2 linked regions of the Arabidopsis thaliana genome follow. The protein of the gene in region 2 interacts with the protein of the main gene of each other region in a biochemical or structural test. Each region holds a gene or a part of one and is shown on either strand. Other genes may lie near its edges.

The links. Proteins that work in one complex are often made in the same cells at the same time.
Region 1: the proteins of PUB23 (region 2) and ATS9 form a complex in vitro, tested with the Arabidopsis thaliana proteins (one study listed by BioGRID).

The regions. Positions count from the first base shown.
Region 1 is NC_003070.9:10,178,380-10,183,507, reverse strand, and holds ATS9 (non-ATPase subunit 9), read right to left. Parts: upstream 3,207-5,128; 5' UTR 2,911-3,206; intron 2,910-2,910; exon of another isoform or gene 2,637-2,909; intron 2,295-2,636; 5' UTR 2,269-2,294; coding exon 1,009-2,268; 3' UTR 720-1,008; downstream 1-719. Other genes in the region: AT1G29140 (Pollen Ole e 1 allergen and extensin family protein), read right to left, coding at 3,697-4,043, 4,311-4,479. UniProt on the Arabidopsis thaliana protein: Component of the lid subcomplex of the 26S proteasome, a multiprotein complex involved in the ATP-dependent degradation of ubiquitinated proteins. In the complex, RPN6A is required for proteasome assembly.
Region 2 is NC_003071.7:15,081,881-15,086,420, reverse strand, and holds PUB23 (plant U-box 23), read left to right. Parts: upstream 1-1,861; 5' UTR 1,862-2,080; coding exon of another isoform or gene 2,081-2,084; coding exon 2,085-3,320; 3' UTR 3,321-3,566; downstream 3,567-4,540. Other genes in the region: AT2G35935 (uncharacterized protein), read right to left, coding at 2,081-2,191, 2,714-2,932. UniProt on the Arabidopsis thaliana protein: E3 ubiquitin-protein ligase that negatively regulates water stress response. May control in coordination with PUB23 a drought signaling pathway by ubiquitinating cytosolic RPN12a.

The sequences.
Region 1 (5,128 bases), on a different chromosome or scaffold from region 2:
TTATCCTTGAAACTATTTATTAGTAGTACTAATTTTTTTAGTTATTATTGCTCAATCTCATAAACCTATAGAAATCTAACTTTTTTGGTCTTTGTAGCTTCGCATCGTTTAAGTGTACGTAAAGTTAGTTAAAGATTATGGACATTAGTCTAGTTAATCTTTCAACCAAGAAGAAACCTCATTCAATTGGACATTTAAGTTTTCACTTTTCAGCTATAAACTGACAATCACACAATAATGGGATACCTACATAACTAGAATAAGGTTTTTACTGTTTATGAAGAAGAAATTGAACAAATATTGGAACACTCTAAATGTTTGTCCTTCCAATAAAAGACCAGTAAACCACTAATGATAAATAACCTTTTCAAACAGCCAAAAAAATGTCTTAAATCTTAACGAAATATTATGATTTGTGAAAATATATGCCTTATCAACATTTTTGTGGATGACTGTAGTATGTCACATTTTAGTGTTAACATTTAAAATAAACGTTTTAACAGAATTTGTTTACTTCATCAATAATCACGAAGCTAACTAGAAAAGCTACTGTGATGAAGCAGCACATAAAAGAATATGACAGAAGAAGAGAACAAAATCAAGACTTGCTTGTGTGCAAGTCATGTCCTGAGTTGAGAAAAGAAATGGTGGGTCCTGTGAATTGAGTTCTGGGTTGGTCAGAATTTATAAATGCGGAGATAGAAAAATCAATGAGATTTGGATGAGGTAAAGATTAAAGGTTTTGGAAAAAGAGAACACAATGTTGACTTGCGAGGCTAAGAAAAAGAAACTGCAACAACCAGATGAAAACAAACTACATTTTAAGCACTAATAAAAGGTAAGAAACCATGACATAATAAGATCATAAGCAAAACGAGTAATGTGAACAATTCAGACAAGTTTACTTTCTCCATTGAGAAACATCAGTTTCTTTGAGTCCAAACGATATCTAAAACCAGAAAGAAAGAACGATAGAATGAGATTCATACGACCAACTCACTCACTCTCTCAGGACATGATTTTGGCAGACCGGACATAAAGGCTGTCGACGACCTTCCCCATGTTTGCAATGGTTTCGAGGGTAGCCGAGTAGATAGCATCTGCCTTTGGGTCTTCGAAGATGATGAGGCATCCAGCTCCTTGATCCAAGGTACCTGCAAATTTCTTGTCGAGTATCATCTGAGATAGCTTCTTTTCCACATGGTCGAGCGGCAATCCAATGAGCTCAGCAATGTGAGCTATCTCAACTCTTGAGAAGGGCTCGATCAAACGACACAGATTTTGCTCCAGAAGCGTGTCATAGAGAGAAGAGAGATGCCTGTGGACAATTGGGTCATCTTCAAGCTGTGCTTTGTAGTCACGGAGTGCGTTCTCAAACAACTTCAAGGACCTCTTCGAGTGAGCATCAGCGACTGCTTTCATGGCATCCAGGTCAGGGCCAACGTACTGTAGTCCAGCCTTTGAGGAGATTATTCCTGCAACATCATCAGCTTGGCTAACCATGATCTTGCACAGTAACATGTACTTCAAACTGAAAACCGCTCTCGGATCTCCGAGAGCGTTGAAGGACTCAAAGGCTTCAAAGAAGTAACTGTATCCGGTTTTGTAGTCTTTCTCTTCAGCATGAAGAATCCCACTCTGCAGATCTATCGTGCCTTGTTGAGCTGGTGGGACATATATAGCGTTAGCAGCTGTCCTAGCTGCAGTGAGTGCAGCTTTTGCCTTGGGTAAGTTTCTCAATGAGAAGTGAAGTTTGCTCTCCAGCAAGTCTATGTCGACCAGAAGGAGCTTATCATCTAATCTCCTAACCTCTTTTACCAAAGTACTCAACAACGCCAAAGCTTCAACATACTCCTTGTTCTCCATCAAAAGAGCTGCAAGCCTAGCCTCTACTCGCTGCCTGAGGAAAGTACGCTTCTCAGCGCGGGTCCATTCGACCATCTCTTTGCAGAGAGTGATCTGGAGATCAGTTGTTCCAGGAATCTTTGCCACAGCATCAATGATTCCTCTGACGATTTTCGCAGTTTTCGCCTTGGGGATTAAGGAAAAGAAAGGCCTCAACTTGGTCAACAGTTTCCGGAGATCCTCACCTCTCTTCTCTTCAGTCAATCGATCACAAAGGTTTGTAATCGCTTGCTCCTTGATCCGTATAGCCTCAGGAGATGAAGAAGGGTCTTCCAAAACCTGGTACAGTATCGTAATAGCCTCCGAGCTGTTGGCTTCTAAAGCCAGGGAAATCGTCTCTGTGGTAGCACGATAGGAAACCATTGTGGGTTTAGTGCAAACTCAAATCCCTGCAACAATAAAGCCATAGACCTGTTAATGCAATGTTCAAATATTTCTCCTTTCAAGCTTATTGATACTCTTTAGGTTTCACATCACTACAAAAACAAATCCATCTTCGATACATTACCAAGATAATCAGATAAAGACAAGCCACGATGGTAATTTATCACTGTAATTTATCAACTCTTCTGTACCTAATGATCAAGACAAGCCTAGAGATCTATCAAAGACAAAGATACAACGAGGCTACAATAAGTAATACAGGAACTGAATTACAAAGCCTATGAAACTATAACCTAATTTTTAAGTAATAAGATGAATCACAGAGACATAGTTCAGTAATTACTAACTTATTCAGTTCGAATTCTTCGACTCAAATACTTTTAAGATCTATTTAATTTTGTATTCAGCTTCTTTCAATCAGAATTAGAACATCCTCGGGCCCATCTTCACTGAGATCAACTAAATCGAAGAAAGCTAAACCCTAGAACTATCGAGACAAGGAACCAGATGTGGTTTTTTAAAACATCGAAAACAATACGCATACCAAAACCCAGAATTAAGCAGATCTGATAAGCAAACCCAGAAGAAGAATTAATGAAATTTCGCAAGAACAAGACTTACCGATGAATCGTCGGGGGCGTGAGATTTTGGTAAAGCTTTTCGACGACGGTATAGAAGAAATAAGAAGAAGAAGATTCGAGAGTTTTTTTTGGCTTGAAAGAAAAGATAAATGGACAGTCTTCTCGTAGTTTTACAATTTTTTGAAGGGTATATTTGTCTTTAGATGCTGAAATCAGGAAATAGAGAACGCTTAACAAATTCGGCGTCTTAAAATCTAGCGTTTCGGATTCAGAGTTTGAAAACCAACGCCAGACGCTGCAAAAGATCCTGGTGCAAACGCTTGTCGTGAAAACGCGTTTTGTGATTCAGGCCTAGTGGCTCAGACTAAAGGCCCAATATATACAAAACTCTGATCCGCCTTCTTTAGGTAAGGGTTCGATTTTATTTGTTGTCTTTTGCTTATTTCAGTTTGAGTCATTTACCTCAAACTATAATTCACATTATATGTTACATATGTAGCTTTCTCAAACTGTCATAAATTTCACTATGCATGTAAATGATTTAAATTTATTTTAGAGTAGGGTTTTTCACTACATCATGCATGTATCTGTTCAATCGAAAAGTAACAAATAAATATTGGAAGGTAATCAAATCATTCGTAAAAAAGAACTCCCAAAAATAAAACAATAACAACGAAAAAAAAACATGGTTAATTAGTAAACTCAGACAGACACATAAAAAACATAAATAAATGTTTTATATATTAAAAAGAGTCATCAAAAAAATTGAAAGTGTTGAGACTTTGAGAGATCGATGTATATGGGTGTGTATATATGTATATTAAGCTTAGAAGGTGACGTCAGGGACGATTCCAAGCTCCTTGAAAACTTGAGGGCATTCAGCGAGAGGAGTCTTCCTCATGAACCCAAGTGGGTTAATGGTTCGAGTCTCGTTGGAGACAATGCCATCATTGGCCGTGAGACTGATTCTGGCTGCGTTTCTTAGGAATTCTTGGTTGTTCACGTCTCCACACTCTGGGTCAGGTGATTGGAGGAGGACGATCTCGCACACTTCCTCTTCGTGGTCACCCATTACTTCCATCTGGTAGTTACCGGCGTTGTCGGTCACGGCTTCTTTGGTTAGGGTCACTGTCTGGTTCTCACGACCCTTGCACTCAAGCTTTACCTTTGCCCCTGATATACACACAATAACGTAATTAGTTTTTCTTATAATCTTGCAACACTAACTCTTAGAAATGTGACTAACCACATTTTTATAAAATTTTAACATTGTTAAAAAGACGTCTATATATGCTTGTAATCATTTTTGTGAATTTTTACTACACAATTCTAACCATTGACCTATATACCATAATGGGATCGATTTTTTATCAACCAATATATTTTGCTATTGACAGTATGCTCAACAAATGAATTTGATTAGAGAATGTGGTTAATTACCCTCGAGAAATTTGCTGATACGGGTGATGAATTGGACACGGCATGTGTCGCAGTAGACGGAGCCCTTGATGTGGAATTTGTCAAAGTCGTCGGCATCAGCTGCGGTGAAGTGAACGAGGGTGGTGAAACATAGGGCAGAGGCAAGGAAGACAATGAAGAATTTGGCCATTATGCCTTAATCCTTTTTTTTCTTGTGTTTTTACTTCGGTCTTCTCCTCTCTTGGATTTGAGAGTTTATTTGTAAAATTTAGTTTTTAAGGGAGAACAAATTGTAAGCTTTGGTTGAGAGGAGACGCTATGATAGATCCAACCAAATATCTCCTTTTATAGAGAACAAATAGACAAAACAACAAAACCATGTGATTCTATATCTATTTTTGGAAGTTTTTTTGTTTATTTTTGGTGTTTTTGTTCTTGAGTTTTGTACGGCTGTGTTTTCCTTGAACCCGATCTTTTCTCATTGCCATCTGTTTTTCTTTTCTGTTAATAATTCTTCATAGATTCCGTTTAGGTCTTTTTTGTATGAGGATGGTTTCCCAAATGTCAATCTATAGAATCTTATGTATGTTTAGACCTCCACTAAAAAGATTCAATGGGGGTGGAGAATTATCTACTAGACCCCAAAGTGAAAGTTTTATTAGTAGTAAATGACTAATTAATCTGAGCCGCACATGAAAGCTTTTGCACAATTTTCTTTGAATTAAGAAAAATTCCAAAAACAAATTGACTAGAAACAAATGTCTTCAGCTGAATCTGTTATTTTGAAGAGTAGAGGTTGAACATATATAACTTTTCTCTTTAAGAAACCTTAATCTATA
Region 2 (4,540 bases):
TCAAGTCAAACTAATAAGTTTAACCGAGAAAAATGTGAAGAATCAAATCCTGATAGCCGGTTGTTCCGTCGTCGGTCGAATGATCTAAATAATGTAATTGTCTAACAGAGATTGATTTTATCGTGTCGGCATGCTCAGTTCTGCCTAAAACACAAGAGCATTAATGCATTTTATTATACGAAACAAAGGCAAGCAAAATAATGTCAAAACAAATATTAAAGACTGTTGATTATAAGAATATATCCGAATAACGACTTATTTTGAAGCGTTGGTTCCAGATAACTCTTACTCTACTCTTTATATCAATTGTCAATACAAAGCAATGAAAAAACTATTTAGGCAACGAAGCAGACGACTAAAAACAAAAGAGTTCTAATCAAACAAAAAATAAACTCCAAAGCCAACCAGAGAGAGCAGTATAGCAATGTAAAACATAAATAAAACAAATATGTTACTGAAAAATCATGTTTTCTGATACTTGAAAAAAAGAAAGATCAAATCATATAAAAATCATTTTTAACTTTTTATTATTTATATATAGAGCTGTCTCCACATAATTACTATTATTCCAAAAATAATTGTTCAAATTTTATGTAAACAAACGTCATCAAACTATTCCATGAATAAAATTGTTCAAATTATGTCTATTCGCTTACGTTAAATATGTAACAATATGTTACATGTATGATACATCAGAAACGAAACGACGACAACAATCTCGTGGTAACAATGTAAATGATAGTGAATTAGTGATGAGGAGCCAACTATAAAGATTTATCATATCGTGGAAAATACTTTAATAAGAAATTGTATGCTAATGTTTATGTATAATTTCTGAAAATAATTAACAAAAATAAAAGGAGATATTTTTTTAAATAACAAAGTGATTTTGAAAAATAAAGAGAGGATAATACCATTTTGGCAAAATTGTATATTGTGATATTCATGAAGACCATAAACAAAATTATCCTCGAACGAGATGCCATATCATCAAAGTCGAGAAACGATGGGTTAGAGATTTGTAGTTTTGTTGATCGTGTGATGTTGCCAAACTACGGGTTCGAAAGTCTTAAAGACCTTTATAAAGGAAATGCGTCGAGTATTTTGCTCGAGAGCCTCGGTTGGGTCAGTGTCAACATGTTGAGTGATAAGCTCGAGGACATTAGTATCTATGAAAGTGGAAATGGTTATGAAGTACATGTATGAGGGTATTGGTTACAGGGATATGAAAGACCCATGTGCGTTATATGGTTATAGTATTCATATATCAATAGTAAAGCGACATCACGTGATATTTTTTCTTAATGTATCAAAATTCCACCAATTTCTATTTTCATTTTTGATTAATAAATACATTTCACTTTGATAGTATTTAGTAAATATTGATGAATAATCAACAGAAACAAGGCCGTACGAGAAAAGTTGTATACTCTCACTATTATATTTTATTTTACGACACAACAAAATGGAAAATCTTAAGTCAAAACGGGTGGCAAAAATGTGTAAAAAGAGAGGAAGAATCAATCAATTAAAAGACACAAAGCAGACAGTAGACACTCTTGTCTTCACCACCGCCACGATCGCGACCAAATGGCTCTCTTTATATTTTATCACAATTTTCTTATCCGTTTGTTACAATCTCTCTTTGAAAAGTCAAACCTTTTCATACGTCTCACGTGTTCTTTTTTCTTCACCCAACTCATCAGCGAAAATAAAAGGTCAAATCTATGTTCCTCGTTCGTTCCTTCTATGAGTAAATAATACTAATAAACTTTATTAAATAGGGGCAGATTTTTTCTTTTTTTAGCATATAGTTATAGGGACAGCTTTACAAAGAGTGTGTAATAACTAATAATATTTGTATTTTCCGTGTTTTGACTTTTTTAATAATTGTGAATTTTTGACATCTCCTTTATATTTAAACCCAACCTCCTTTCTCTCTTCCTCCTAACTTATTCAAACCAATTCACATCTTCCCAAACCCAACTACTACAACTTGTATTAAGAAAAAGATATATTCCCTTAGCTTCTTTGATCAATATATTCGTCAGGGTTCTCGTCAAAGTCCTCAGCATCTTCATCATATGTCCGGAGGAATAATGGATGAAGAGATCGAGATTCCTCCGTTCTTCCTTTGTCCTATCTCTTTGGAGATCATGAAAGATCCAGTGATAGTCTCTACCGGAATAACCTACGACAGAGACAGCATCGAGAAATGGCTATTTGCAGGCAAGAAAAACTCGTGTCCGGTCACCAAACAAGACATAACCGACGCGGATCTCACCCCGAATCACACTCTACGCCGTCTCATCCAATCTTGGTGCACCCTAAACGCCTCCTACGGCGTCGAGAGGATCCCTACCCCAAGACCTCCGATTTGTAAATCTGAGATCGAAAAGCTCATTAGAGATTCAGCCTCTTCCCATGAAAACCAAGTCAAGTGTCTCAAACGACTTCGTCAGATTGTGTCGGAGAACGCGACCAACAAGCGGTGTTTAGAGGCAGCGGGAGTACCGGAGTTCTTGGCCAACATCGTAAGCAACGACTCAGAAAATGGGAGTTTGACCGACGAAGCCCTCAACTTACTTTACCACCTCGAGACCTCAGAGACAGTCCTCAAGAATCTTTTAAACAACAAGAAAGATAACAATATCGTAAAGTCGTTGACGAAGATCATGCAGCGTGGGATGTACGAGTCCAGAGTCTATGCCACTTTGCTTCTCAAGAACATTCTCGAAGTAGCGGATCCAATGCAGAGTATGACTCTCAAGCCAGAGGTTTTCACTGAGGTCGTCCAGATCTTGGACGACCGGATCTCGCAGAAGGCGACCAAAGCTGCCATGCATATATTGGTGAACATATGCCCATGGGGAAGGAACAGACACAAGGCCGTGGAAGCTGGAGTAATCTCTGTGATCATCGAGCTTCTCATGGACGAGAGCTTCACATCAGAGAGGAGAGGTCCAGAGATGGCGATGGTGGTTCTTGATCTGTTGTGTCAGTGTGCGGAGGGACGAGCCGAGTTCTTGAACCACGGAGCAGCCATAGCGGTGGTGTGCAAGAAGATACTTAGGGTTTCACAGACAGCAAGCGATAGAGCGGTTAGGGTTTTGTTGTCGGTGGGAAGGTTCTGCGCAACGCCTGCTTTGTTGCACGAGATGTTACAGTTGGGGGTTGTAGCGAAGCTTTGTCTTGTGCTTCAAGTAAGCTGTGGAGGTAAGACCAAAGAGAAGGCAAAGGAGTTGCTTAAGTTGCACGCTAGGGTCTGGAAGGACTCGCCTTGTCTCCCAAAAAACATGATTCTTGCATATCCCTGCTGATGAAAACGAAGAAAACAATACAAACAAGTCCAATTCTCAGTGAGAGCAATCACATATATGAGAGATGCTGTTGAAAAAACTAAAGGAGTATTCAATTATTCATATCATTAATCCAATTTTCCTTAGGTTTCTTATTTCGTACTTTTGATGTTCTCAATGTAGATAATAGTGGAAAATGTTCATCAAATATTTTTTTTTATGAAAAACTGCAAAGATATCATATATAAAATCACAAGTTACCAGGCTATTGTCACTTTCATTTTCATTATTTTGGTAACGCTTTTATTTTTAAGTTTTTTTCTTCAATTTATGTATCCTCTTAATCTCCACTATAATCCAAGTAAAGGAGTATATATATATATATATCATTTAATTTCATCATCTCTTATTTGAACGAGTAAATGTGTAAGTTTTCTCCTAAAATATTTTTCTTTCTTTTGGTTTGTAGGATTATTTTGTAACATTCAATTAGACAAAATTCTTTTCTTCCAAGTTCTTATTTAATCCGATGCACGTTACCTCGTATTTTATTGCAAGAATCTTTGTATAATTTTTAACAATTGGGGCACATGGTCTTTATATATATATTGGCATATTGCAAAGCAAAAATTTTATACTAGCGAGGGTACCCAAAAACAAAATAAAAAGAAAATCTTTAGTCTAGATCGCATCTAGTTGAAATTTCATTCCTCCAAATTACAATATTAATTGCCATTCTTATAAAACACATAGAGATCAGTGTGTTATACTTTTGCATCACATGTAATGACTCATATTCTCATTGACCAGCGAAATTAGAAACGTCGAAGTACTACAGGACGCAGTCGAGAGAGTGAAGACAAATATTTATGAAAGAGATATATAGAATACAAAGAAAGCCACCTAAAAAGAAATATAAACAAAAAAAGTTGACACAGAAGAAAAATTAGGAGCAGGCCAGTATAGAACCACACCACCCGGAAATATAGTTTATATCTTTTAAACAAGTAAAAGAATGACCATTGTTTATTAATGGTAATATATAATCTGAAGGAATTAGCTAGTGATAGAAAAATAGAAAAGTAGTCATCTATTGCGAGCAGCTCTCCAAAATCTGATGAGTTTAAAAGTACAAAAGGTAGGTCCAGATTGGACCACAAGTTGTAGCTGTAGTTGAACAATACTCATAAAATTAATTCATAATACATAAATAAATAAACAGAAAAGTCTTCGACTCGATA